Pelodiscus sinensis: one gene and its partners. The protein of the gene in region 3 interacts with the protein of the main gene of each other region in a pairwise test. Links are inferred from orthologs where the notes say so. Each region holds a gene or a part of one and is shown on either strand. Other genes may lie near its edges. The genes, in order: RPLP1, RBM48, NUDT21 and MYL6.

The links.
Region 1: the proteins of NUDT21 (region 3) and RPLP1 interact in a two-hybrid assay, tested with the Homo sapiens proteins (2 studies listed by BioGRID and IntAct). The link is inferred for Pelodiscus sinensis from reciprocal best matches to the Homo sapiens genes NUDT21 and RPLP1.
Region 2: the proteins of NUDT21 (region 3) and RBM48 interact in a two-hybrid assay, tested with the Homo sapiens proteins (2 studies listed by BioGRID and IntAct). The link is inferred for Pelodiscus sinensis from reciprocal best matches to the Homo sapiens genes NUDT21 and RBM48.
Region 4: the proteins of NUDT21 (region 3) and MYL6 interact in binary tests that used the Homo sapiens proteins (3 or more experiments, as listed by UniProt). The two-hybrid records come from large-scale screens. The link is inferred for Pelodiscus sinensis from reciprocal best matches to the Homo sapiens genes NUDT21 and MYL6.

Annotation. Positions count from the first base shown.
Region 1 is NC_134712.1:7,725,727-7,733,551, forward strand, and holds RPLP1 (large ribosomal subunit protein P1), read right to left. Parts: upstream 3,015-7,825; 5' UTR 2,904-3,014; coding exon 2,832-2,903; intron 2,324-2,831; coding exon 2,249-2,323; intron 1,197-2,248; coding exon 1,085-1,196; intron 499-1,084; coding exon 419-498; 3' UTR 372-418; downstream 1-371. UniProt on the Homo sapiens protein: Plays an important role in the elongation step of protein synthesis.
Region 2 is NC_134712.1:213,672,267-213,679,165, forward strand, and holds the start of RBM48 (RNA-binding protein 48), read right to left. Parts: upstream 3,021-6,899; 5' UTR 2,937-3,020; coding exon 2,826-2,936; intron 1,063-2,825; coding exon 872-1,062; intron 583-871; coding exon 437-582; intron 1-436. Other genes in the region: peroxisomal ATPase PEX1, read left to right, coding at 3,308-3,430, 5,568-5,714. UniProt on the Homo sapiens protein: As a component of the minor spliceosome, involved in the splicing of U12-type introns in pre-mRNAs.
Region 3 is NC_134722.1:44,118,435-44,125,638, reverse strand, and holds the start of NUDT21 (cleavage and polyadenylation specificity factor subunit 5), read right to left. Parts: upstream 3,015-7,204; 5' UTR 2,859-3,014; coding exon 2,743-2,858; intron 1-2,742. Other genes in the region: prolyl 3-hydroxylase OGFOD1, read left to right, coding at 3,238-3,406, 3,553-3,698, 7,081-7,127. UniProt on the Homo sapiens protein: Component of the cleavage factor Im (CFIm) complex that functions as an activator of the pre-mRNA 3'-end cleavage and polyadenylation processing required for the maturation of pre-mRNA into functional mRNAs.
Region 4 is NC_134729.1:4,087,900-4,095,173, forward strand, and holds the start of MYL6 (myosin light polypeptide 6), read right to left. Parts: upstream 3,005-7,274; 5' UTR 2,990-3,004; coding exon 2,864-2,989; intron 2,619-2,863; coding exon 2,591-2,618; intron 1-2,590. Other genes in the region: myosin light polypeptide 6, read right to left, coding at 7,122-7,150, 7,269-7,274. UniProt on the Homo sapiens protein: Regulatory light chain of myosin. Does not bind calcium.

The DNA of each region.
Region 1 (7,825 bases), on a different chromosome or scaffold from region 3:
CTACTTGAGCAGTTTAGTATTGTCGGCAGACTTTGCCACCTCACTGTTTGCCCCTTTCTCCAGATCATTTATGAATAAGTTGAATAGGATTGGTCCTAGGACTGACCCTTGGGGGACACCATTAGTTACCCCTCTCCATTCTGAAAATTTACCATTTATTCCAGCCCTTTGTTTCCTGTCTTTTAACCAGTTATCAGTCCATGAAAGGATCTTCCCTCTTAAACCATGACAACTTAATTTACATAAGAGCCTTTGGTGAGGGACCTTGTCAAAGGCTTTCTGGAAATATAAGTACATTATATCTACTGGATACCCCTTGTCCATGTTTGTTGACCCCCTTCAAAGAGTTCTAATAGATTAGTAAAACATGATTCAAGTTTTTCTTTGTTTTTTATTACAGATGGTACAAAAAGGCAGTTTAGTCGAAGAGACCAAAGCCCATGTCATCATCAGATTCCTCAGATTCTTCTTTCTTTTCTTCCTCTTTCTTCTCCTCAGCTTTAAAAAAAAAGGGGGAGAAAACGGTTAAAGTCAAGACTCAACTAACCTCCAGGAAGAGTTTACAATGGAAGAATCACAATTGTAAAATAGCTTTCCAATGTAATTTGTGGTGCTTCATAAGCACATCAGTACCACAGCCAAAGAATCTAATCCACAGATTATCAGTGCCCTTACTCCATGCAGTGCCTTTGATGACCAACACTGGAGAACAGGGAGATAAAGCAGTGCTTTTAAAATTTCAGTAACAAGCCTGCTCTCCCCATCCAAACAATGCCTCTCTCGTAAGCTCACTATTTTCAAACTATAGTTATGCCCTTTAGCAGTCAGGAAACAGTAGTTCCGCAGACTGAATTCATATTATCTTAAGAGATCAGAAAATGTAAAAACGTAACTATAGCTAACCACACAGAACAAAATGCTGTTTATTGCAAATGTCTGACAAGTTTATCTATTACAAAGCAGTTGTAAGAATTCAAAAATACAGTGAATTAGACACCATACAAAGACAGGATTTATCACCATTTTACACAGTCATGTCTTCTGAAGTTATGCCAAGATAACAGAAATCAAAGCATTCACTTACCAGGGGCAGGACCACCAACAGGAGCAGTGCCTCCAGAAGGAGCAGCAGCCGCAGGAGCACCACCAGCTCCTACGTTACAGATTAGGCTTCCAATGTCAATGTTAGCTAGAGCCTAAGAATATTTAAAATTCATTAGAACTATATTTTACAGAAGTTGCACACTATTCACTGCTGTTTCAAGGATATTTAAAAGTTGCATAATTCAGCACTCTTGCACATAGTAAATTGGTCAGGCTAAATCGTAAGTTAGATTTAATAATGCATTTCCTTACTACGGTGCGTGGGATGCTGTCAGTCTCCTACTGTAGTTATAATTGCAACATGCTGCAAGATAAAGTAATGATCCATCTCAACTTACAAAACTGTATAGCGACAAGTTTGCCAACGTAACTCAAACAACTTTGACCAAAGCAAGCTTTTAACATTAAAGATGCCATGAGAAAGGTTAACTGCTCTAAGCAACGTTTTTGTCTAATTTAGCAAGATTTGGTTAATAAGATGGGTCAGCACCAACTAAAGGAATGAAACTGCATACATGTCAGAATACATAATTTGTCCTGAAGTATCTTTAACAAGACGTAGAGGGGAAAAAAGCCATCTGAGTCCCCAATCTCTTATGATTTTTCAGGGCAATATTAAAAAAAGCTTTTCTTTTACCACATAAGCCAACAAATTGAGTCAGAGTTTGATGTCAATTCTATTTCTGAATGGCTCTGAAAAGATGACCAACCCACATCTCTAGGCACATTAGAGCTTCTTATATGATGTACCTATTGCTCAACTCCAACCCTCTGAAACACCAGCCAAGGCACTGAACTCTCCAACTAGGGTTTGTATATTTTGGCCTTCCATGCTCACATAACTAACCAGTGTCACCACTTTGCTAAAATTTGTTTTCATCAACACCATTCAATGCTGATAAAATTTTAATTAATTAGATTATCAGTTGGGTATTTAATCAGAGGAAGAGGATTCTCAAAATATCAACCTCAACTACATTTGGACAGTAATTTAATAGCTATCTGCCAGAGTGCCAGAAAACTACTACTTGTTATCTACAAACTATTCACAAATCTCAGCTGTGCACAGGCCGAAGCTACCTACTGCACATGCTATACTTGGACCCACTACAATTCATTGATCCACTTTTCTGTTATTTCTTACCTTTGCAAAAAGGCCTGGCCAGAACGGTTCAACATTTACTCCAGCTGCTTTAATAAGTGCATTAATTTTGTCCTCCTGAAACAATTAAACATGCTGTTATAACAACAAACAAGTCAGGCACCGGCACAACGTGCATTTCTAGTCCTCTCCCAGCCATTGTGGCCCAGGATCTCCAGCAGGCACCCTCAGTCCCTCACGCACGTGGAGACCAGAAGGGATACGAGTCCGGCCTTGCCTACGAACTGAAGCAGGCGAGCGGCGTCACGGAAGCTGCCACAGGGCCCGCCCGCCCCTGGGCCGCGCTACCCAGCGAGCTGCGCTGCCGCCGCAAAGGCCGAGCTCGGGAACAGCCACGTCCTGCCGCAGGAACCGGGCGGAACCGGCGCGGTCGCGGCGCAGCGCAAGCCCGGAGCCTGGTGCGGGGCGGCCCGTGGCCCCGCGTGGCGGAGCGCGCCCCCGACTCAGACGCTCTGCGGCCCAGGAGGGAGCCAGGCCGAGAGGCTTCCCCACCCCCCCCCCCCCTTCCCGCGCAGGCGGAGGCGCCCGCCGCCATCTTGCGCGCGTGGGGCCGGGCCGGACGCACCGTGACGGTGACCTCGTCGTCGTGCAGGATGAGCGCGGCGTAGATGCAGGCGAGCTCGGAGGTGGAGGCCATGGCTGGATGGGCGCGCGGCGCGGTGCTAGTCGCCGGGGTGGAACGGCCTTAGCTTCAGCTGAAGGACCCAGCACCTTGTGCGGCCAGAGCGGAAAGAGGGGGGCCGCGTTTCCGGGACAGGGCTATAAATCCAGCCTCAGCCAATCACAGGCCGGAAGCGGATCTGTCAGCCAGTCAGTTGGAAGCAGGATATTCTTGACCAATCACAAACATGTGCGGTCCTAGCCAATCAGAGCAAGGCCCCGCTTGTGTCGGAAGTGATGGACTCTCACGGAAGTATCCGAGTCCAGCCGAAGGGGGGACGGCAGGGAGAGCTAACGCGCTGAAGCAGCTGGGGGGGCAGGTGCGAAGTGGACGAATGTCTTCCGGGCGCGCCTGAGATCTTGGCCATTGCAATGGAGAGAATCCCTCTCTCTCACGCCCGTGTTCTCTAGGTTCATGCAGGTTCTGCTCACAGCCCCACCTACATAACGAGAGATAAAAAGGTAGCAGCTAGCACCGTATGTAGGGCAAGCTGCCCAGCAAATGACAATAGCAAACAGACCAAAAAAGTCACACGCTAAGTTTAACAGCAGATGTGAAGAAAGAGTATTATCTAGTACTGTGGGGGCTGTAATGTGACCCTTACTGACGATAGCCTTCTCCTGAAGATGCTATCATCCCTGCTTAGGAAGATCTTCTATGACAGTTTCTCAACCTTTTTTATTAAGTACCCCTTTTTCAAAAAAAATTGTAAGTTCCCCTTTTAAAAATATAAAAGTACCCCCAGCACCTACAGTTTTCAGACACATAAAATCTTTTTCTACCATTACAACACATTTGTTTAAACAATTTAATCGTAACCAGGTGGGTGATGACATTTTTGTGGGTAAAAAAGTACAAAAATAATAATGTGCTGTAAAACTTAAAAGTTCAATTTTCTCCAAATTTCAGTTGTGTTGATGTACTCCTCACACTTCTCTTGAGTACCCCTGAAGGTACAAGTACCACTGGTTGAGAAACACTGTTCTATGAGATCAGGTCATTTGATATAGTTAGTAGGGTTGTAAAATCCCATTTAATTGGCTAACTAGTTAATGAATATGTTAACTGATTAAAGAGAAGGTGAGCCTCACTGGAGCATACACACACACCCTGCACACTCCTGGGTTGGACCACCTCCCCCTTGCCACAGGCAAGGACTGCTCCAGCATCCCAAGGAGAGCAGCCCCTGCCTGCAGGGGTGACCTGGCCCGCTGTGGACTAAGATTTGCTGCAATTTATAGAACTGCTTCAAGTCACTGGATGCTTTTGGGGTTGTTGGTATAATCGCTTCATCCAGTGTAGTAGTCAGGATTTACTGATGTAGTGTCCTGAACAGGTCTCTTCCTCCATCAATGATAACCGTTCAGACATGTGCAGGTGTCTCCATCCTGTGTGTTATGTTGACTTTGTACAAGTAGTCAAAACAGCAGACTCCAAGAGAGTCTTCAAAGACCACAAAATCAGATAAGGATAGAAGGTGCCTGGCTAGGTTTATTCTTAAATGAAGTACAGTAATAGCTGTAAGTAGATTCTACTGAACCATATCTCTTTATATACAAGTACAAATAAGTTACACATCACTCTAGATGCTGGCAATAATTTTTGAATGGGGGCCACTTCAAAAAAATTTAAGTGATCACAGGCCACTTTGGAAGGGGGCGGGGCCTCAGACAGAAAGGGCAGAGCCTTAGGCAGAAGGGAAGGAACTTTTAAATGGCAGTTGAAAGGGCTTGTGCCTCCCCTGCAGCTCCCAGGCATCAAGTTAGTAGGGGACAGGCGCTGCAAGCTCCTTTCAATTCCTGCTATTTAAAGGTTTGCTGCTCCCAGCCTTGGTGCCAGGGATGCTAGAGTGTTCCCTCTAAGATTTTCCATCCTTGGGCGGGTTGAATTTTCTTTTGGGTGGGTTGAAATTTTTTATGTGCAACACCAATATTGAGGTAGTGTGTGGATGTCCACCCACCAGTACAAACAAAAACACTAGATATAAGTATATATTTTAAGTAGTCCACAGGTGTGGAAGAAAATATATTAAAACAAGGGATAATTAACAAGGAGCAATGCTTATGATTATTTAATATGAAAACAAACGAAAAGAAAATTAACACTACCCATGGCTGAAGAAGTGGACTGTGCCCAGGAAAACTCATGATACTATTTATATATTTTTGTTAGTCTCTAGGGTGCTACAGGACCATTCTTGTTTTTTAAGTTTTCTTAGTTACATAGTAACAGGGATACCCCTCTGAGAACTTGGAGTACACATATCATCATCCTTTCTAACAGATGTTTCTTGTAAATAAGGTTTCATCCTACAAAACAGCATCACTTGCTACTTCTAACTCATAAGAGCCAGAACTCTACCACATAGCAAAGATCTGGCCTTAATGCAATACAATTAACCATGTATTAATTAGTAAACAGGATTTAAAAACAGATCATTAAGATCAGAGTTTTAGATATCTGCAAGTCAAAAATATTCTGTTAAAATAATCTTTTTCTTCCTTATGTCTTTCTCAAGCTGAAATGTAATCATGCAAATGTGGCATACCCACACACAGTGGCTACGTCTAGACTGGCATGATTTTCCGCAAATGCTTTTAACGGAAAAGTTTTCCGTTAAAAGCATTTTCGGAACAGAGTGTCTAGATTGGCATGGACGCTTTTCTGCAAAAGCACTTTTTGCGGAAAAGCATCCGTGGCCAATCTAGATGCACTTTTCCGCAAAAAAGCCCCGATCGCCATTTTCGCGATCGGGACTTTTTTGCGGAAAACAAATCTCAGCTGCCTACACTGGCCCTTTTGCGCAAAAGTTTTGCGCAAAAGGGACTTTTGCCCGAACGGAAGCAGCATAGTACTTCCGCAAAAAGCACCAATTTCTTACAGTAGGAAGTCAGTGCTTTTGCGGAAATTCAAGTGGCCAGTGTAGACAGCTGGCAAGTTTTTCCGGAAAAGCGGCTGATTTTCCGGAAAAACTGGCCAGTCTAGACACAGCCAGTGGGGAAGTGTAACAAAGAGGATCCCAGCCCAGCCAATTCCCCATTGGGAGGACAAGGGGAGAAACAGGGAGGCTGCTACATTGTTAGCAGTTCACAGGATAGGGGAGGATTTGGGAAAGAGGCAGAGAAGTTGAGCCAATCTGGCAGGTCTGTAACTTACCCAGCTTCTTACATGTGGCTGGTTGCAGGCAATGAAGCAAAGTTCCCTCCTCCCCTTCAGCAGACGCTTCAGCACGATCTGGGTCACATGATCCCCCTGCGAGTACCGACCCTCCAGAGGAGTGGGAAAGTGAGGGGGGAGGACCACAATAGAGGCTGGGGCCAGTACAGCAGGCAGGCAGCTGCTGCTGCTTCACTCCTCCACCCCATGAGGAAGCAAGTGTCTGTCCCCCCGCCCCTTCCCCAACCTGAGCTCTGTACCTGCATAGGGGGCTCTGAACCTCTGTGAGGGCTCAGAAAAGAGCTGGGCAGCCACACCAGTGTGCAGTCTACAGGGAACCTTGAGCTAGAGCCCTTTCAACTACTTCCATTAAAAGGGCTCATGAGAGTCCTTTAAATAGAAACAGTTAAAAGGGCTCACCGCTCCCGCTACTAGCATTGCTTGGGAGCCTGAGACACGCAAGCCCTTTAAACAGAAGCAGTTAAAAGGGCTCACAGGACTCCAGCTCTCAGGCAATGCACTAGGGAGCAGAGCCTGGAACAGCCACACAGGCTGGATCAAAGCCCTAGGCAGGCCGGATCTGGCCCATTGAGAGGCTTTTGCCCACCCGTTCTGTAGACATGACAGATTGCTATCCTCTGACACTATGTAGAGGCCACCCCTCACCCTGCACCTTGTGGCTTGATTAGAACATCTCTCATTCATCATGCTATCATTTTAGATCCTTTCCTGACCCTGGATTGGTATGTCCCTGTTATGTGTGGGGAGCGTGGGTACCACGGTCCTTTTTAATTAGATGTTGTTAGCATCCTTCTGGAATATGCTTTCAATTTATGACCAGTACCAATTTCTGTTTTACAGCCAGTACCTAGTGCCAATTACTGTTCTACACCTCAGCCTATTACCAATTAGTGTTTTAAACTATCAGCCCTTTTTGTGAGAAGTTCTCTGAACAGAGGGCCTGCCTTTTGCTCACAACTTAGCTTTGCTTTATATTAACAAAGTCTTGACCATTATTAACTAGGCCTGAGGCCTCAAACCAGGCCTATTTTACATGAACTTTTATTTCAGGCCCTCATCTTACTATAGTAAGGAGGAGTTACAGGCAGATGAAGTATCCTCCTGGTCTAGTTCAGACATCCTCCCTTCCTCCTCTGTCTCTCCATCAGGAATCTCAGAAGTTCCTCTTGGTGAGGGTGGAAGTGATCTGATTTCCCATCTTCCTGGACCGGAGGATCTGGTGTAATGCCTCCTGTATGTGGTCTATGAGTCCCACAAAAACCATTTCATTGGATAAGTTGGTGATAGAGCCAGGGTTGTCCTCACCGGGGCTGCATCTGGCCAGAGTGATGAGGCTCATGTCTGGTAGCTTCCCATGGAAGCCTTCTCTATGTTGTTGAGGGGTTTGTGAAAAATAGTGGGGCTATGTCTACATTCGCAGCTTCTTGCGCAAGTACTGCTGTTCTGGCGCAAAAATCTGCAGAGTGTCCACACTGCCCGCCCACTCTTGCGCAAGTAAATTTACAGTACGGCGTGGTAAGAGAGGGCTCCTTGCGCAAGAGCTATGCTCTTTTTTAACAGGTGTAAGCCCTCTTGTGCAGGAGTTCTTGCGCAAGAGGGCAGTGTGGACGTTTGGCAGGGATTTCTTGTGCAAGAAAGCCCTATGGCTAAAATGGCCATCAGAGCTTTCTTGCGCAAGAGAGCATCCACGCTGCCATGGGCGCTTTTGCACAAAAGCACAG
Region 2 (6,899 bases), on a different chromosome or scaffold from region 3:
CATCACCAGTCCCTGCAACTGGGGGAATTCTACCTTTGGTGGATCCATGACCTTAGGGCCCATTTACCCTGCACAAGGATCAGAATGGGGCTAAGACTCTCACCTCATGTTTCTTAGCTATGCTTATGTTTCTGATAAATGAGATCACACACCTCATTATCAAGAAAAGAAACTAGGGAAACAAAAGCATTAAAACCTATCCTTTTGTTAATCCCCTATTCACTATTTGTTTTATATTTTTTGTGATCATTTAGAATCCATTGAACACTGAGAACTTCCCATTCTGCTCTTAAAATACTGAAAACACAGACACGCACACTTTGTAGAAAAGTAAATAGGAACAATTAACTATAAGAATAGGCATTTTTACTTTGCTAAAACATACCCACAACACAAGCGATACTTTAAACTTTCAAAAGGGTGTCCAATTACAAACCTCTATTACTTGTTGCTTTTGCTATATACTTTCTCCTGTCTTGCAACTTCTCCCTTGTTTCTTGGACTGTTTCAAATTCTGGAGCATAACACACATGAAGCAAACTACCAAAGAAACTCCGTTCATCCATTTTTCTCTTGGCTATCCTAAATGAAAGAAAATTGCATTAAAATGTTACATTAGTCCAATATTACCATAGCTTACATTTTAACAAACGTATCTGTGGATCACTGATATTCTCTTGATCTATGTTTGTAATAAACGTTTACATGACTACACTGTACAGAGAACACATCATTCTTGTATTTACCAAGCATATTTACGTGGAATAAATATTTTACCTGAATCTCAAGAAATTTACTTGAAAATATATTATATTAAGAAACCAAAGATTGAAGAAAATGGAAAGCATACAGATGTTATCTGTTGCAATACCTTGCACTCTGTAATTTTTGGAATTTGATAAGATAAACTTCTGTAAATTGTTCCGCTGGATACTCATCTAAAGCATTGTACTCCTCAATGGCACCATATAATGCAAACTGTTGCACTAATTCCTTCATGACACCCAAAGCAGGAACGCCTTGTATTAGCAAATAACGAGATTCTAAGTTGACAGTGTACACCTAAAAGAAATAAAAACATTTACATACATTTATCTTGCAATAAAACATTAAATACTATATTCAAGCAGCTCAAGTATTTTTCTTCTATTGACCTCTTAGAACTTTAGAAAATTTTAAACATTCCCCCTTGATTTCAAGCCTGGAATCTTTCAAAGAAAGTATTATAGGGACTCCCAACAAACAGAAATCTGTAAGAATTCTATGATCAGCAGGGACTTCCTCATCAGTGACTGGTTATAGAACTCAATCATTCTGATCCAAAAGCAGATGCCTACCATTTGAGTTAGGTTTATTTCCGATCTGATCCAGTAAAGAGCAATGCTATATAGTCTAGCCAGTACATTACATGTGCTTTTCAACAATGAACATGTTTGCAGGATTGGGCCCTGAAGCTTGTATGTATTGTATGCAACCTTTCAAGACAAGATAAGGGAATACATTTTTCAATTTATTTTCTACAATTCTATGATTCAACTGAATGCTGGTAGGCTTTCTGTAGCATGTAACAAGACATCTAAAATGAGGCCAAAATAGTGCAAGAAGAATTTTGAAATGTGAGATTTCTTTCAATATTAATGTTTCCTATAGTTTCATAATCGAACATTCCTTACATTAATGATTAACACTCCCAATATGGCCAGGTTTGTGTGGAGTGGGGGATGTTAAATGTGGCCGGAACAAACTGATGTTTGTTGTAATGAGAGACGCACATATGTTAATCAACACAACACAACAAATAGTCTGGTAGCACTTTAAACACTAACAAAAATGTAGATGGTATCATGAGCTTTTGTGGCCCACTTCTTCAGATGACTGGAGTGTTGGAAGTCCAGAACCAAGAATAAATAAGACAAGGAGAGATGGGGGCGGGCAGGGAGGAAAAAAATTGGAGGGGAGGAAAAGAGGACATTGGGTACATACTTTTCAAAGGGATAGCAGAGCCAGTCTGAAACAGGAAACATTTAAAAAACAACAAATAGTCTATTAGCATCTTAAAGACTAAATAGTTAAAAGAGGCTGATAATCATTAGTTTGCACTATGAAAGGAAGAGTAGTGACACCAGATTCTACACAGACATCAAGAACCATTGACACCTCCTCATCACTCCTTCCTTTATTTATTCTTGGTTCTGGACTTCCAACACTCTGCTCATCTGAATAAGTGGTCTGTGCCCACAAAAGCTCATGATACCATCTACACGTTTTGTTAGTCTTTAAAGTGCTACCAGACTATTTGTTGTTAAGTTTTTCCTGTTACAGACTAACTCAGCTACCCCTCTGAAACTTTTAAATATGTTAATCAAATGGTTCCTAACTCATTGGTGGCAAGCTTTATATCGGTTTTTGCCAGAATGAAACCTCATTAGTTTCCAGGCAGCGCCAGGTAGGTGAGAGTGTGTGATGGGGTGATTTGCAATCCTGCACCATCCTATCACCCCAACAGGCTGCGGCCTTTGGATCACAATGCCACAAAACTGAACACAGAGCGTGCACCCACAGCCACTGGAGAGCAAGAGCCAGCCAGAGCCCCGCCCTGTGCCGTGCCCCCGGGTGGCCTTAGCCTGGGCCAGGGAGTGAATAACTCTGCCCCAGGCGCCGCAGCGTTCGGAGCAGGGTGACGCTCCCGCAGGGAGAACAGGAGGCGGCTAGAGCAGCCCGCAACCTGGCGCGTACCCGCGGGCGGGCGCGGGCATTTGAAGCCAGATGCTCGCCCAGGTGGCCCGTAGCCCGGGCTAACCAGTGCAGGCCCCGCACATTCCCACCTTCACTGCGCGGGGCCTGCGCCCCTCCCGGTACTTGGCGCGCGAGTCGCAGACGCCCTGCTGCGCGTGGTGTTTACAAAAGCCCCCAACTCCATCGCCAGGCACCGCCATCTTCCCATCTCCCCCCGCGCGCGCCACGGCCAGGCAGCACCAGTAGCTCCCCGAAACAGCAGCCAGTCACAGAACCGGGGAGCGATTACGGCGCGCTCATTGGCTGCGGGCGGGGACGCGCAGGAGAGATTTGGGCTGACCAGACAGCACCTGCAGAATCCCTCGAGAGAACAGCCAATCAGAGAAAGCGGGCGAAGGGGGCACGCACGCTCATTGGCCTGTGGCGGGCCGTACCAATGTTGCTGGAGGGTAGGGGCCAGTACTGAGGGCTCGTGCTTCCTTCTCTCTGGCCACACGGGGTAACGCTCCCTGAGTGCGGAGCGGCCGCTCGATGCTGCCGGGGCGCGCCGCGGCTGGGTGCGGCCGGGGCGATGTGGGGCAGCGGCTACCCCGGAGGCGCGGGGGGCGCTGCTGTGACTGTCGCCTTCAGCGGCACCCGGGACTGCTTCCTGCACCTGCCGCCTGCGCTGGCCTCCCACCTTCGCCTGCAGCAGGTACTGGGGCGGGCCCCGGCTGGGCGATGGGACCCTCGGAGCGGATCGTGGCAGAGCCCCGCCCCTCTCCCCACCAGCATGCGGGAGGGACTGGGAGGCGCCCCTCTAACTTTCATGGCTTCACCCCTCCTCGCCAGCATCCCCCTCAGGGCTACGGTGACATCGCTTCAGTCCCGCTCCCCCGGTCCGTTAGACCCCGCCCCCTGCCATCCTAACGCCAGGCCGTTCTCTCGCCGCTTCCCTCCCCCCAATGCCAGTGATGCAGTGACACCCCCTGCCAGATCTCCTCACATACCACCGATTACCCCACTGCCAGCGACATCCCATCACCAGCACTTCCTTATCGTGCTCCCCCTCCATGCTCGCCAGTGGCGCCCCTCAGTGCTCGCCAGTGGCGCCCCTCAGTGCTCGCCAGTGACAGCAACTCCTCTGATGCCAGCACTTTATCACACTCCCCTCACACCAGTGCCCTCTCAGCCAGTAATGCCTCCAAAGCCAGCAATGCCTCCAATACCACCATTTCCTCACAACAGCCCCTAATGCTAGCAAAACTACCAGCACCTCCTCACAACCCCTGAGGCCAGTGATGACTCTGATACTAGCCCCTTTGCATTGCTCCCTTTCCATGCCAGTTACACCCACGCTGCTTGCAGTGCCCCCAATGTTAACATCTCCTCACTATGTCCGCTAATGCTAGTGATGCCCCCAGTATTAGCATCTCTTCATGACACTCTCTGCAATACCAGTAATTCGTTACTACCACCAGCACCAACACACAATGTCCTCACAATGCCAGTAAGTTTTCATGGTGGCCCCAGTGCCAGTGATTCACTTTGAATCGACTGCCTCACAAGACCCCTGATCTAGAGGTGTAAAAAGTTAACCAATTAACTGATAAGCATTGCTTTACTGGCATGCTTATCAGTTAACCCGTTAATTGGTGTGGAGAGCAGCCAGCCGCCCACAGCACAGCTATGGCTGGTTGGAGCAGCCTCTCCACCTGCTGCAGGGTGTAGGAGTTAATTGCGGAAGAGTTTTGTACATGTAAGTTTAGGGGTGTGAGGCCTGCATTCTTACCCCTTCCCCCATATCTGATGAGCCAGAAGCATGTTTTTGGGAACATATGCCATTTAAGATAAGCATTGTTGCCAGTATAGCAAGAACGAGGGTAAAGGGCAAGAACGCATAAACAATCCTGTTTACTCTAATGCACTGATCACTTAAACAAGGCCAAAGAACAAGTAGAACAAAATCAGAACCAGATGGATAACTAACAGCCGAGCCCTACATCAGCAAGTAATGAATAACCCCTGGAAATTTCCATACTGCCAAACAAGGCAAGAAAACTGTATTTAAGACTGCTCCAAAGCACAGCAATTTGGACCTCACCGATGGGCTTTGGGTACCGGTGCCTCGGAAGCTGAGACAGTCTCTCACTTTGTCCGGCTAGCCAAAGGGACGTAAGATATGCCACTTTCTGTAGAGTTGTCTTCAACTCTAGTTGACTTGTCCAGTGAAACAAAACAAATGCAGTGTCATATATTTTTGATACATATACATGATACAACCCCTGCTTGTCTCCTTCCCCCAAAAAATTGTACCATGGAGTGTTATCCCTGATTCCTAATGATACACAATCTGCCTATACTCATCCAATTCCCTCCTAATATCCCCTTCTTTTACATTTTCCACACTCTTAACAATAACTTGATAGAATCTAAATTAATCTTTAAAACAATAAAGAGCCAAGAAGATGCATATATTGAGGTACCAAACGGGTTCGTAACCTTTTGTGTGTGTAAATCTCTACCTTCGTTACTTTATGTTTCTAGTATCCATCAAAGCAAGGCCCCAGTGATCAAATCAGAGATAGATAGGCAGATCTTTGCACCGGCATGGAGTGTCGTATTCAGATTTTCAATGATTCAGTGTATTACAGTGTATTTCTGTCTTGTGCTAAGATGCTACATTATTTGTTAAAAGAAAGCATGGCAAATCCAGGAACAAACCGCATTTCTTCATTTTGTAATCAAATGTCAGGTTTTGTCTATACTGTTAATGAGAACAAGCAGTATTTGTGGAGTATAATTTTATTTACATTGTTTTCTATTAATGTTATTTTGTTGTCTGAAATCAGCAGGGCCAAGCTGTGAAAATCTCCTTGGGTTACCAGCCTATATTTTTGAGTTGGATGGAAATTAGACATCGTAATCACCATGGTGAAAATATTGCTGAAATTAACAGACACCTAGCAGAGAAACTTGGCATTGCAGAAGGAGAACAGGTTTGGAATGCACTTTTTTTAAACAAAATTTCTGGAAGAAATAATGCTTTCATTTAGGTTCCAATTGTGCAGCCTGTTCCATGCAGGCAGACAGATCCCCACTGTCCTCACTGGGACTGAATGCAGCAATATTATTGATGCTGCTATTTCTTTTCACTTTGTATCTGTTGTGTTCACTATAGGACATCTATATCCTAAGCATACCACAACAGCTATGTTTTACTTCTGAGGGAATTGGGGAATTCTGCATTATTGAGCATCACAGAATTCAGATTCTTTAACCCATGCCTAAGCTTTCCCGCACAAAATCACAGGGAAGCAAAGGGAAGCTGCAAGAGTGTGGTCACATAACTGCATGGTATTTGGCACTGGGAGTAGTTGGTCTGGGGATGTCCATGGATGTAGTTTGGGGGAGGCATTGCTCCCCCAATGCTCCCCCAAACAGAAGCAAGGTATGGGGGGGGGGGAGTATGGAGGATATTTGCCACTGTGTTGGGGGCATTTCTGCTAGGAATGCGATTTAGGAATGTGAACAATTAGTCAACTGTCTGATAAATGATTATTGGATAGTCTACAGGCTAGTCGTCTAATTGCTTCCTCCCACCTGGCTGCCTCTCTCAGAAAGAAGCAGCAAGGGGAGGAAGAGAAGGGGTTACTTCAAAGCAGCAGCACCACGTGGAGCGTGGGGCCAGACCCTGGGCTCCAGGCGGCAATGCTGCATGGAGACTGGGCCAGCTGGGGTGTCCCCAGGCTGCATGCAGCATTTCAAAGCAACAGCGTTGCATGGAGCCCGGGGTCACCGGGCGAATCCCCAGCTGACCCCAGGCTCCACACAGCACTTTAGCTTTTGAAGAGTAGCAACAGCTTAAGGGCTGTTGCTATACTTCAAAGGCAGAGGTGCCCTATCAACTAATCAAATAGTCGATGCAAAATATATCGAGCATTTGATTAGTCAATTCACTTGATATTTAACATCCCTAATGTGATTGCGTATCCAAGTACACAGTTAACTGATAAGCCTGGGCTCATCAGTTAACCCTCTTGGTCACATGCAGACCCCACCCCCACTGTATCAGTGGCAGTAGTGTGGGGATGGAGGGGCAGTCGGGAGTTGGTATGTGCAGGGAGCCGGCTTTCAAGCCTTCTCTCTTTCTCTCCCGCCCCTGCCCCCCCCCCCCCCACCCC
Region 3 (7,204 bases):
AACTGCACAGTACATCCTGAGGGTCAGCTACCGTAGTATAAAATTAGCTATCACTGATTTCAAAATATTTATAAGATGTGCACACATATGCTCCCTATTCTCTTCTGGATGCAATTCAAGGTACTGGTTATAATCTATAAAGTTCTAATTAAATGATTTGGGCTCCACTTACCTGAAAGGCTGTCCCTCTGCAATTGCAAGAGTAAACCACTGGCTCACACTCAGCTATTCCAAGCCTTAAAGCTCTCCACAAATAGCAGCAAGACACTCAAGTAGAGAGCCTATATCTGTGACCTCCTACTTGATCTCTGCCTGAGTTAGGAGAGTTCTTAAGCTTGTGCTTTCAGAGTCTGTTTGACAGACTTTTGAATAATCATTGTAGTAGCAGGGAATGAGTTTGTTAATAAGCAGGGGAAGTTCTCTTATATTTGGTTGATCGGTTCTTGATTTTTATTGATTTGTGCAGATGCTTTGATGCAAGATACTAATATGCATTTCTAAATAACTCATTTGAATCTGATAACTATTAAGGTCATTATAAACATTTCACTTGAAATCTTTTTAGGTGTTTCTTTTCTAAAACCTTAATCTTAGAGATAGCTTCCCAAATTCAGTGCTAATTTGGAATTTCTCCCCATCTTCCAGTACAGAGTATCAGAGCCAATTCTCATGCATGCTGCTATTCTACAAGCATCTCTAGTTTTAGAATATCTTAATGAACATCCTCTCAATTACAGGTCTCTTGCTTCCTGATCAATGGTGTCTTTATTATCTTTATTACCAGTCTCTTGTATTTTCTCCTCTTTATCTGTGGCTTTATGATTTCACCACTATTTTCTTCTTCTACTTAAATTATTTCAGAAATCTCAAATTATAATTCCTTCTCTAAAATAAGATTATATTTATCATAGAGAAGCGCTGTCCACTTTATAAATGTGTGATATTCCTTAATCTGGATCCAAAAAATTTGACTTGTACTAATAAACACAAATTCAAAGAGTTACAGCTTCTTGCTAACAGACTGTTTCCCCTCAACAAAAATCCCTGTAGATTAACATTTTCACTTTTAAAATTAGTTTTATCCATTTGGGCTTCAAAGTAGGGATGTAAAAGAGTAGTTGAGTCATCTTCTTACTTCCCCCCACCCTCCACCTTGGGGATGGAGAAAACAGGAGCCAGTGCTGGGAGAAACCATCTTAAAAGAGGCAAAGGCAGCAGGGAGGTGTGAGGGGTAGAGGAGGCTTCTCTGGCAGCAGAGCCTTGGGCTAGCCACACCCTGGGGCTGCTGGACCTGGTAGGAGCAGGGACTTAGCAAACAACAAAGAGTCAGGAAACACTTAGACTGATGAAATATCTAGAATTTGTTATCATGAGATTCTTCAAAGACAAAGAACCACTGTTGCCCTCATTGTTTGATAGGTAGGTAATGACCTAACCATCCAGTATCTTTGTTTAATCCAGAGGTGTGAGAATTGAACTTGCAAATGAGCTTTATTATTTGCTAATTAATGGTTCTTATCTGCCCCCTTTGACTATCTAGTCTTTAGGTACTTATAGACTCAGCTTTCCTTTCATATATTTTTTACCTACTGCCTTTTCTTGTTACCTCCTCCTCCCAATTTTCACTTCTTCTCCCCCCCCCCTCCCCGCCCATTCATTTTGGTCCTAGAAATCCAACACTCTGGTCATCTGAAGAAGTGGGCGGTGCCCACGAAAGCTCATGATCCCATCTACATGTTGTGTTAGTCTATAAAGTGCTACCAGACTATTATTTGTTGTTTTTTTAGTTTATCTGTACAGACTAACTCAGCTACCCCTCCCCCCCAAAAAAAAGCTCTGAGTGTGTAATGGTTAATTGTGGAGTACTGAGTATTACATTTGTTTGCCATTACTGCAACTTTGTAAACTTATCAAAGAAGAAAAAACTAAATGTGATGTCCACTGTAAAGCTAAGCCTGCTTCAATAAATGGCCCACTAAGGCAATCATTGCATACCAGCACTTGCATGTTACTTAATACAAATCAAGTTGCATCCTACAGCTTCCAAACATCCAAAAAAGGTACATATTTGTCCTGTAAACTCAGTACACGCTGAACAATGAGCACATATTGGGTACACACTTTTACATCCTATACACAAACTCAAGACACCACAGAGGTGGAAGGAATATAAACCCTCAGGAAAACAGGTGTGCAACTCTCCTAACTCAGCAACCCCCTTATTTAATCTCACTTAGATAGCAGCGGTATATTTACACCCCCCGTTGACGGTCCTAATGCCTCTCCTCACAAACTGAAGGTCTCCTCCAGGTAAAGAGCCTGCTCCCATTAAAGCCATCCCAGTTAGGCAGAATTCAGTCCTCTCCAGTGTGAGCAGATAGTGGGATCAGAAGGGGCCTCCTTCCCTCAGGCCCTCACCTCCAGCCTGAGGTGAGGGGCTAAGGCACAGGCAGGAGCAATGGGGAGAAAGGGCTGTAGACGGCCCTCTCCAGAGCCAGCAGCTCCGAGAGTTCAGGGTGTTGCTCCCTCCCCGGAAGCCGGGGGAGATCTAAGCCCGGGGCACGGTGAGGGTCTTCCACAGGAAGGGGGGGACGGGGCTCGCAGGTGGATGTGGGGAGATTGGGGGAGGGGCTGGGGAGCTGAGGGAGGGGGGGGCCGGGCCGGGGTCGGGGAGCTGAGGGAGGGGGGCTGGGGAGCTGAGGGGGGGGCCGGGGAGTTGAGGGGGGAGGGGCGGGCACTCACAGGTTGATGGTGCGCTCCAGCGTGAGCGGCTTGGTCTGCTGGATGTACTTGTTCCCGAACTGGTTCACCCCGCGGGGCCAGCCGGTCTGCGAGCGGTTGGGCGGCACCACGGACATGATGGCGCAGCGGCAGGCGGGAGGGGCTAGGTCACTGCTCGGCGGCGGGAGCCAATTCCACCATTAACATCCCCGCGCGCCAGGCCTCACACCCCGCCAATGGCTCCGCCGGAACCGACCGGGCGCGCGCCGGAAAGGGTAACCATAGAGACTGGCGCACAGAGCGCCTGGACCATAGAGGACAGCAAGCGCGCCGCCACCCGCCCTACGGCGCACGCGCACCACTGGCGGCTTGTAGCCTCGCTCCCCTTGGCTTCAGGGCCGCGCTCTTCTCGGCTCATTCCGATTGGCTCCCTGGGCTGCGCGAGCGCTGCTGGGAGTTGTAGGCCCCGCGGGGGTGGCTGTCCCCGCGCGCTGGCGGAGCAGAGGCTGTTTGACCATGAGCGCGAGCCGTCGCGGCCCGCGGGCCAGGGAGGCCCCGCAGGGCGGGCCGGGCAAGAAGCGGGGCAAGCGGGAGGTGCGCGGGGAGTTCTCCGCGGCTCTCAGGGAGCCGGCCCTGAAGGAGAAGGCAGCGGCCGCCTGGGGCCGCAGGGAGCCGCTTAGCCACGGTACCGATTCCCGGGGCCCCTCCCCCACTCGCTGAGGCGCCCGGGCCTGGCCTCCCCTCTCGGCCCCCGCGGGCCAGGGCGGCGGCGAGCTCGTGGGGAGCCCGAGGCGGGGCCTGGCCTCACCGTGTCTCGCTTGCTGTCTCCAGAGGCCGTCGCGGTGGATCCTGCGCCCTTCTGTCACTGCGTGATTCCCCGCTTCATCCGCAGCCCGGGCTTCCTGGACGGGCTGCACCAGGAGCTCGCGAGCCTGGATTTCCGTGAGAAGAGCAACGACTTGTACAAGTTCAAACAGGTGCGCTGCCATGGTAGGCCCGAGTGTGTCCGCACCGATCTCACAGCGCTCGCTGTGTGTTCATAGCCCCGGTCTGTGCTTGCAGCTATTTGTGAATTCAGACTGGCTCCATCTCACTTGTGTCAGTGAAACTTCTGTCGTTCCGGAGGGTGCAAAAAACACACTTCGGACCAACATTAAGTTTCACCAGCAAAAGTGCTGATGTGGACAGTGCAGCTACACAGGAGACCTTACAGCAGGGGTGTCTAAACTTTTTTCAAAGAGGGCCAGATTTGATGAAGTGAACATGCGTGAGGGCCGACCATTTTGCCTGACATTCTTTGAGCCATTCAAATTAAATGCAAATTAACTATTTTATGCAAAGTTTATTGCAAACGGCATACTTTTCATTTCGTCACATGGATGACAAATCTAAACAGGTGTTAAATCACTCTGCCTTTCATATCTGAAGGCCAGATGAAAAAAAAATCCAGGAAGCTGAAATATATGTCAGGAACATTGTAAAGTACATTACATATTATTGGTAATAAAGGTTGTCTGTCAACTTTTAAGTTCAAAAAATATGAACAGGAACGTAACACCAAGTATACATGTTGTGTCCAAATATATTTATAACTGATTTAGACCAACTGACATTTTACAATGTATTCATCTCAATACATATGGATTCGTTGGGGGCCATAAAAGATAGATATTGCCAAATTACCTGTGGGGCCGTATTAAACCGGAACACGGGCCGCAATTGGCCCGCGGGCTGGACTTTGGACATGCCTGTCTTACAGCGACACTGCTGTACAAATGCATTCATGTTTCATAGATCTAGGATAAGCCTCATGACACCTGGACCAGTGTGTGTGGCTATCATAGCTGATAAAGTTGAAATGTGGAAATAAGCAAGATGACATGCCATGGTTAATGTTGTCAAAAGCTGTCACTAACTGTTGAGAAGCGCTATTTTAGATGCCTAACTTAAATGAATAAACCCTGGGAAAATGCTTAAAATGTATAATTTTGCACAACTATGTAAAATGTAAATCTATGTAATTAACAAAGTGTAAAGCAAATGCATGTTGGAACTATTTTTATAAGAATTTATTCAAGCCTAATTCTGACCCATGACTTTATCTGGTTTGTAGGGGATCTCAAGTTAATGGCAAAGCTGTGAGTGAAACTCCTTGACACCTATGTTTATGCTGATCATATGTCCCATTTTTTTCAGGACTATCCTGAATTTAAATGATCTGTCCCAGTGCCCCATCAAGTAGAGAAATGTCCCAGAAAGCCCCGCTGGACATTTCACTACTTGATGGGATACTGGCGCAGCAGCCTCCTCCCCCCAGCAGGGCATGTAGGGCTACTGGGCCAGTTTCCAGTGGCCCGCCCTTTCCTCTCTCCCTCCCCCCACAGGACCGCCTCTGCTATGCAAAGTCCTGGTCCGGCAGCCCCACCTCCTTCTCCTCCAGGCCGCCTTGGAGCCTGGCAGGAGCCGTGCAGAGCCTGGCTGAGATGCTGCAGGGTGAGGGGCGCTTGGCTCGGCAGGTGCCATGACAGGAGCAGGGGCCGCCTGTGGAGCTATTTTTAGTGCTGCAGTCCAGATCATGGTTGGTGGCCCAGCTCCAGCTGGAGTCAAGCAGCAGTCATGCAAGGAGTATTCTGGTGAGACTTCCCCAGATGGAACGTGCCTCGTAGGGCTGCCACTTGGCTCCAGCTGGAGCTAGGGCCGACCACAGAGACTGTACTGCGGCACTAAAAATAGCACTGTGGGCAGCCCTGGCTCCAGTTGGAGTCAAGTGGCAGCCACACGAGCCATGTTCCAGCTGGGTCTCGCGCAGATGCCGCTGGACTCCAGCCGGAGCCAGGGCTGCCCGTGGGGAATGGACTGCGGCACTAAAAATAACACTGTGGGCGGCCACAGCTCCAGTCCCGGCAAGTGGTCCGGCTCTGGGAGCATCTGGGGCTGCGGGGACTTCTGGGGCTGGTCAGCAGGCTCCACCCCCACAAACTGGAAGGCAGAAGCTGAGGGAAGGGGCAGGGAGAGAACTAAGGAGAATGGAGGAAGGGACTTGTGCTGAGGCAAGGGGGGGTACGCCAGGAAAAGAAAGGGGCAGGCACCAAGGGGCAGGATGCAGGAAAGAGAAATGCCAGGCCAAGAGGAGACAGTGAGGAAAAGGAGGGAGGGGAGAGGCAGGGTGATGCTGGGAGAGGAAAGGGGAGGGACCGTGGGGGCAAGAGGGAGGGAGAGGAGGAGTGAGTGCTGGGAGAAGAGGCATTTAAAGGCGCGATGGACCTGAGGAAGGCAGGGGATGGAGCAAGTCGTGTGAGGGCACAGAGGGGAGTGAGGAGAACTGGGGTAGAGGGTGGTGAGGGAGTGGGCACCAAGGAGAAGGAGGGCAGGGGCAGGGGGGAAGGGAGAGGCACCAGGAAGGTATGTAAATATGATTAAGGAAGATCATTCTTCTTGGGAGGTGTTTAGGTGTTGTGTTGCTTGTCTGCCTGTACCCATATGAGCATGAAAGAGTATTTAATGATGACTTTTGCAGAATAATAGGTGCAGACTAACTTAGGAGAACACAGGTTTAAACCTAGATAATAGACACTGGGGGCAGTGTCCCCTGCTCGCTCCGCTCGTCAACCCTCCTCTCTGGGGGCAGGCAGCCCTGACTTCCCACCCCAGAGCTCCGGGGAGGCTGGGGAAGCCACGTGGCTGCCACCCTGTCCCCAGGAGCTCCAGGGAGGCCACTTAGCTGCTGCCCTCTCCGGCATCAGAGAGGCTGGGACCCTCAGCACCAGTATGGGAGTGAGGGAGGAGGCTGGGTGGCTGAGGAGGGAGGAACTGCAGGACGCAGAGTGACATGATGGCATCACTCTCTCATCCTGCAGGAAAAACTTACACATGTAGAAAGATTAGTAATCCTCTTCTGCTTTCTCCACCCTCTGGCACGCTAAAAATTGGCTGTCCCTCCATCTCTGTCGTCTGAAAGAGAAATCCCTATGTGTATATCCTGTACAATGCTGAAAGTAGAGGCTCTTTTGAGGTGTGGTAGCCGTAGAATACAGATACTCCCCTCCCAAGTGCAGACATTTCCTTGGCAAGTCAATGACTCAGCTTTAATATCGAGTGTTGGACCAGTGCCCTGAGACCTTTAACTTGCATTGGTGAAGCTGGCATTGTGCCCTAGTAACTTTTGGGCTACTTAATTCGCCTTTTGCCTGCAATGGCCCTCTGCCATCCATTCTGCACTCCGGTTCCTGCAAGAGCTGTAAATTACACTGATGATACTTATAGACTTATTTAAGTTCTGCCCTTATTTATCGCTGCAGCTGTAACTTAGAGCAGAGTCCAAATTAATAAATTGTTCTTATTTTCCATGCATCTCCTTAGTCTGATGATCTGAGGAAGAGGAAAGAGCCTTACATCTCAGCATTAAGGTAAGGTAGTTCCTAGAAATCACAGCAAATCATTAGGCACCCTTTTCTAGAGGTCTGAAAGGAACAGGGCCAAAAAA
Region 4 (7,274 bases), on a different chromosome or scaffold from region 3:
ACATGAGCTAGGAGGGAAGACTGAAAGAACTGGGCTTGTTTAGTTTGGAAAAGAGAAGATTGAGGGGGGACAGGAGAGCCGTTTTCAGGTATCTCAAAGGGTGTCATAAGGAGAAGGGAGAAAACTTGTTCTTCCTGGCCTCAGAGGACAGGACAAGCAGCAAGGGGCTTAAACTGCAGCCAGGGAGGTTTAGGTTGGACACTAGGAAAAACTTCCTAACTCAGGAGGGTGAAACACTGTGCCGGGGGGGGGGGGGGGGGAGTTGTGGAATCTCCATCCCTGGAGACGTTTAAGAGCAGGTTAGAGGATGATAGCTGGTGCTAGGTCCTGCTGTGAGGGCAGGGGACCGGACTTGACGACCTCACGAGGTCCCTGCCAGTTCTCTGACCTGCCCTCGACAGGAAGCCTGGGATAAGGTGCCAGACTGGAGAGCCCCAGGTCCAATTCCCAGCTCTGCCCCAGACTGGTCACTGTCACGCTGCGCTAGCCTGAGCTCAGACAGCTGTTGCTGCCGGCACAGACTGATGCTGGGATAGGGGGGCAGGGGGGGAGAATGACACATCTCTGGCTAGAGCCGCTCCTAGCTGAAGGGTTGCCGGGCCTCGACTACCTCCCCAGTTCCCCCCCCCCCCCCCCCCCGAGCGACGCAGCCGGCTGGTGGAGTCGAAGGGAACCGCCGGGTGCAGAGCCGCCCAGATCTCCTTTCCTCGTCGGATCCAGGTTCCCGGACGCAGACTCGGGGAAGAGCCAGGGGGCTTGCATGGGGCTGCCCATTCGCTGAGCCCAGCCTGAGCCAGGGATGGGAGACGCCTGCCTTTGATGGCAACGCTGCACCCGCCTTAGCTGGCAGGTTGGCGCCACTTGGGTCCCCAGTTCCGCCTTCACCCGGCCCTAGAGGTGCTCACACAGTAATTGACGCTAAGGCCAACCGGGGGCATCAGGGCACTGCAACGCCCAAGGGTCAGCCCCGGTGAGTCTCGCACGAGGGATGTGGCCATGGGGGCAACAGCCAAGAGTGGGGTCTTGGCAGGGGAGGAGGCAAAGCGACACCTTGCACAAGACAGCCCTCCCACCCCCTAGCAGTCTGCCCAGAACCTCCATGGGAAGGAGAAAGCTGCAGAGCTGGGGAAAGGACCCAGGAGTCCAGGATCCAAGCTCTCCCCTCCCCCCACTTTAACCCACTAGACCCCACCACTCCCCTCCTGAAGCTGGGAACGAACCCAGGAGACAGGGCTCACTCCTTAGTGCAGTGCTTTTCAAACTAGGGCTTGCGGCAGCAGGGGGAACAGTGGGGGGCTAAGGCAGCTCCCTGCCTGTCCTAGAACCACAGGCTGCGCCGCGCCCCATTAGTGGCCGGCAACAGGCCGGGCTCCGGGGACGGAGAAGAGCGCACAGGACTCGGCGGACTGCCCGGAGCGCTAGACCCCACTCCCCACTCGTTGGCTGGGAACCTGCTGCCGGCTGCTTCGGAGGCTCAGCCTGGTCTGCAGGGCCAGAAGAGGCAGGAAGTTGCGTTAGGGCCCCCGCCGGAGCCGTGCAAGGTAAGCCCCCTGCCCTAGCCATGGCCCCCCAAGCCAGAGCCCCTCCCTGCACCCCATCCTCAGCCCCCACGCCCGCCACATGATGCTGCAACCCAGCCTAAACATTTTCTTCAGCTGGGTCATAAGGAAAAAAGTTTGAAACTCACTAGCCCTAGGCACTTCCTGCTGTAGCCAACAGCAAGCACCTGCCAGGGGACCCAGAGAGGATCTGGCCCCTCCCCACGCCCCGGTTAGCGGAGACCCCTCCCCACGTCCCGGGCTGGCTGATCCCTGCCCGGAACGGCCGGGCCCCCCTTGCCGCCCAGGCGGGCGGGCCCCGGGCCGCGGGTTTTGTGCCCGTATATGGAGATCCAAGCGAGGCAGCGCGCAGGGACTGCGCAGCGCAACATTCCAGCCGCGACCCCTGCTCCGGGTGTCTCCCGCCCCGCCGGGGACGGGGGGGCGCCCGAGCTGGGAGTTTGCCACGGGTGATTGCCGGTCCCAGAGCTTTGCAGCCATTTTCCGCTGCGACCACACCCCGCCTGCAGCCGGCCACCCCTCCCCTGACTCACAGGCGGGGGGGGGGTCCACGCAGCGCCCCTAAAGCCTAATCTGCCCCCCATCCGGCCGTGCTGGGTTACCCGGCAGAGAGGCCCGCAGGCTGGGCGGGGCCCGCCGGGCTGGGCCAGGAAACTGCTCATAGGTGAGCCATGCGCGCAAAGGGGGGGCAGGTGAGTCACCCCCAGACTCAGGATTAGGGAGCTGGGAACCCCGGAGCAGCAAGAGCCAAAGTCAGCCCGGAGAGAGCCCCCCCTCCCCCCGAAGCGAGGGGCCCCGTGTTAATGGGAGGGGGGAGCGATCACACAGGTAGGGCCGGCCCCACTTACCGCCGGAGGCTAGAAAGAGGAGGCTACAGGAGAGTGAAGGCTAGTGACAGAGGAGGAGGAAGGTCTATAAGGGAGGGAGAGAGAGCGGTGAATCCTTCGGCGGCGGCGGGACGCGCCAAGGAGTCACCCCGAGATGAAAATACCGCGCAAAGGTTGCGCAAGGAAGGGGGGAGGGTCACTTACCGGCCGTCTGATCCTCGGAGAAATCGCACTGCAAGGCAAGCAGAGCGGAGCCGCCGTCAGCGGGGCTGCCAGCCCCCCCCCCCCCCTCCACGCCCGCGAGCCCGGACCCCCAGAAGCGCTGCGCCCCCGGGAGGCAGGTCGCTGGCTTAGGCGGGCTGGGACCTAAGCGTGACCCCCCCACCCTGGTGCTCGCCTCCCCCTCAGTGCGCCCCCCGTGCGCCCGAAGCTCGGCCCCCCTCCCCCCGTGCACCCCAGCTTGCCCCCCCCCCCTACCATGGCGGCTGCAGCTCCACTCCCAGCAATGGACCCTGCGCTCTGCTTCCTCTGCCCTTTTTTTACAGACGTTGACGTCACCCCGGCACTCGCACGCCATTGGCCAGTGCTACTTAACTGCGGCATCAGGCCTTAGACGGGGGAGTCGCTCGCAGCAGCCCCGACTTTGTCTATAGATAGACATGGAGATGGGGGTCTTGCGGGGGGGCCGGACCGGGGAGGGACCCAGAGGGGGTTGGAGGAATGGGGGGCTAGGGGGACCCAGTGGGGGATGGGGAAACAGGGGGGCAGGGAGAGTCCCAGAGGGGGTTAGAAGAAATGGAGGTCTGGGGGTGTTCCGCAGGGGGTTGGGAAAACAGGAGCAGGGAGGGTCCCAGCAGGGATTGGGGGGCAGGCAGGGTCCCAGCAGGGATTGAGGAAATTGGGGGGCAGGCAGGGTCCCAGTAGGGATTGGAGGAAGTGGGGGGCAGGCAGGGTCCCAGCAGGGATTGGAGGAAGTGGGGGGCAGGCAGGGTCCCAGCAGGGATTGGAGGAAGTGGGGGGCAGGCAGGGTCCCAGCAGGGATTGGAGGAAGTGGGGGGCAGGCAGGGTCCCAGCAGGGGCTGGGGGAACAGGGGGGAGGGTGGGTTTCATTTCATAGAATCCTAGAGCTGGAAGAGACCTCAAGGTGTCATCAAATCCAGCCCCCTGCTCTAGGCAGGACCAATCCCAACTCAATCAACCCGGCCAGGGGTTTGTCAGGTGGAGACCTCTAGGGCTGGAGATTCCACCCCTCCCTAGGGAACCCATCCCAGTGCTTCCCCACCCGCCTAGGGAAATAGTATTTCCTAATATCTAACCTTGCCCTCCTCCACTGTAACTTGAGACCATTGCTCCCTCCATCAGGACTGAGAACAGCCTCTCGCCATCCTCTTTGGACCCTCCCTTCAGAAAGTTGAAGGCTGCTCTCAAATCCCCCCTCGCTCTTCTCTTCTGCAGACTAAACAAACCCAAATCCCTCAGCCTCTCCTCATAGGTCATGTGCTCCAACCATTTTGGTCGCCCTCCGCTGAGCCCTCTCCAATGCGTCCACATCCTGTCTAGAGTGGGGGGGGGGGGCAGAACTGGACACAATATTCCAGATGTGGCCTCACCAGAGCCGAATTTAACAGAACAGCTCTTCAGGGACCAGGGGCAGCATGTACATGGGCATTTCCATGGGACCCGTTCTCTGTGCGGGCGCTCGCCTCTCAGCAGGTGACACCCCCGCCCCCCACAGGTGTGATCACCCCGCACCAGCGGGCAGCCTCGGGGAAGAGCCTGCAGCCCCCACACCACCAAAGCATCATCCATAACGGGGCGCCTGGGCCAGCCTGTCTCTCCCATCCCAACCCACCTGCCGGCTGAGCAGGGCGACGGTGCTGGGGAGTGAGAACCCGGCAGCGGCCAGCTGGGTCCATTCAGCTGACATGGCTGCCAACAGCCTAACCCAAATGGGGCGGAATTCAAGTCGGGGGGTTTAATGAGCAGGCCCCTGTTCTCTGGCAGTCGCCCGGCGCTGACCCTGCTAGGTTTAGCTGCCCCAAACACCTAGCGAGTGCTCACTCAGGCAAATCATCTTCCAGCCCCATGGGAAAGACACCCCCCCTGAACCCCACAAGCCTCCTGCCCCCACCCCAACAATTTGTCCTTAATGCGTCAGATTTCTCTCACTTTCATTGATCGCTCTGACCTGCCTGAGAATTAACCAAGCCCTGCACTAGGACTGGGTCAGCTCGGGGCACCTTTATTTCATGCCCCTTTTGGGCTACGGACCCCTCAGTCCAAGTGTCACCCACTCCCCCGGTGCCCTGTGCTGCAGCTGCAGTTCTCGGCCTCCAGGGCAGCCGGGCCAGTGGGACCCCCATGCCGGTCCGCGAATGCCCCGACATGGCTCGGCTAGTGACAGGCCTCAGCCTGTGTCTCCGTCTCGGTGGCGCTGACGTGCCGAGTCTTTTCCAAGGAGAGGGCAGAGGAATTCCAAACCGCCTGGAGCCAGGTGCCTCCCGCTGGAAGGCAGGGAAGGTGCTGGCTTTTCCCAGGTCCCAAATGGGCCATAACACAGCTAGTGGCTAGTGTTGCCAGATATCTTCACAAAAAATCCCTAATATGGTGGGGAAAAAAAATTGGGTGAGGGGGGGAAAAAAAAAAGAGTTGCTATGCCTTTAAATTCCTGCGTTCCCCACTCTCTGCACCCCTGCCAGATGCAGCTGGGGCAAAATGTCCTCACTGGCTTTCCGTCCCAGAAAAACAGAAAATACTGGACATTTTACATTTCTGGTTTTTTTTTTAATCCGGACAGAAGATGCAATTACCGGACTGTCCGGGTGAAAACCGGCCACCTGGCAACCCTACTAGTGGCTGCTCCCTGACTGAGGGGTAACGCCAGGGATTCTGCAAACGGCAGGCGGGGAGGGGAAGGGGGCGACCCTCCACTGCCGATGGCACTTTTTGGGTCTCGCTGGCAACCCGAGGACGCAGCAAATGGAAAAACAAAAGGACAAGAGCGGAGTTTGTGAGTGCCGGGAAAGAAACCAGCAGGGGAGGAATTCCTGCTCCCAGCAGGGGGCGCTGTGGGCCACAGGGCAGGCCTGGGGGCTGCTGGGGCAGATCCCTGTGCTTCCAGTCCCAGCCTTTCACCCCCATACAAATAGGAACCAGTGGGTGTGTTTCCCCGAACTTCTCCAGGACCCTGCTGCCATTCCCTGGCTCTGGACTCCAGAGCTCACCTCCCCAGGGAATTCTGCCAGCACCAGGGTGTCTGCACCACGGCTCCCCTGGAATACTTAGGGCGCCGGTGGGGGGGGGGATTTTCCCCCACTAGCAGGAGGCCCCACACGAACCCTAGAGGCCAGAGGCTTCTGGAAACAAACGGCTTTTATTGTCCAGACGCAGGACGGGCACAAGGGGGATTGGGTCCGTTCCTGCCTGGGGATCTGGAGCGGGGCCGCAGATCTGCTTAGTGGGCTCCCCTGGGCTGGGCCGTTGTTCTCGGGGGGACCCTGCGACACCCCCCTTGCTGGATCCTCAGCCACTGGTGTCCTGAGGCCTTGGAGACTCCGGTCAGGCGTTTACAAGTCCTTTGCAGCGGCCATTGGTGGGGGAGAGGGGTTAGAGAGAAAAAGGGAGCAGCGGACATGCCCCCCCCCCCCGCAGACTGATGGGCCTAGGAGTCTTCACCGGAGATGTCAGGTGCTTAGCCCCATCCTGCCCGGCCTGGGGAGAGAAGAGGAGACAGTGAGAGGCCCCGTGTGGCCCATCTGGGGAGCTGGGGCCCCATTTGGGGCAGGGGCAGGAGGAGGAGGAGCCGCCCCAGAGCTTCGCTTTGATCTCAAGCTCCGTGCCCCGGGGCACAGGCTGGAGGGAATCTCTCCCCGGCACAGCGGGGCCAGCGGGTTGGTCTCAGGTGCCCCAGCGTGCGCAGGGCACCCGCTGTGCCCGCAGGATGCTGGCCTAGCAGAGGCGCTGGGAGCCGGGGCGGTGTTGGTGAGTTGGAGCTTTCGGGAGCCCCGCAAGGGACGTGTGCTGAGGGGTGGGGAAACTGAGGCACGGGAAGGGGCTTGCCTGAGGCCACGTCAGAGCTGGGCGTAGGGGCCAGGCACCCCGATGCCCTATCCTGAGTGATAAAAGCAAAGCCTCGCTGCCCCCTTTGCATGGGGCTCTTCCACCCTGGGGCCCCCCTGGGGCTCTGGAGGCAGCTCCCCAGGCCCCTCAGAGGTTTGATTGCACCCTGCAGGGCCCCGTTAGGGACACGGTGCTGCAGAGTGGAGCTGGGCCGGTCTGATGGTCTTGGGCCACAGCTGGTACCAGAGCTAGTTCACCAGGCTTGAGCCAGACTCACGCTGGCCCTGTCTGCGGGCATCCTACCCGGGCCTGTTTCTCAGGCAGCATGACCTAGTGGTTAGCACGCGGACCAGCATGCGGGAGACCTGGCTTCTGCGCCTGGCTCAGCCACTGACCTGCTGCTCACCTTGAGCAAATCCCTCTGCCTCAGTTTCCCCCACTAGAATGGGACGAAGGACGCTGAACTGGGAGGTATTCCGGGGGAGGGGATCGGCCGGGAAAACACATCTCTGCCAGAGCAGAGGGGTTTTACGCTACACAGGTGAGCGAGGACCTGCCCAGGGCCTGGCAAAGAGGCAGGGTCGAGGGGAAGGGGGTCTCAAGGTAGAGAAAGGAGCAGCCACCCCCAAAAAGGAGTCTGACGAATAAAAGGGGGCACCTACCCCATGTTGCCTGCTCAGCCAGACAGGATGTGTTTGACGAAGGCTGTGAGGGGAGGAGAGAAGCATTAGTCACAGAAAGGGGCCACTGGGCCCCCCCCAGCCCTCTGGCTCAGAGCCTGCGGCCAGAGGGCCCCGAGTCCGGGCTGACCCTGGGCTCCCACCTTCGT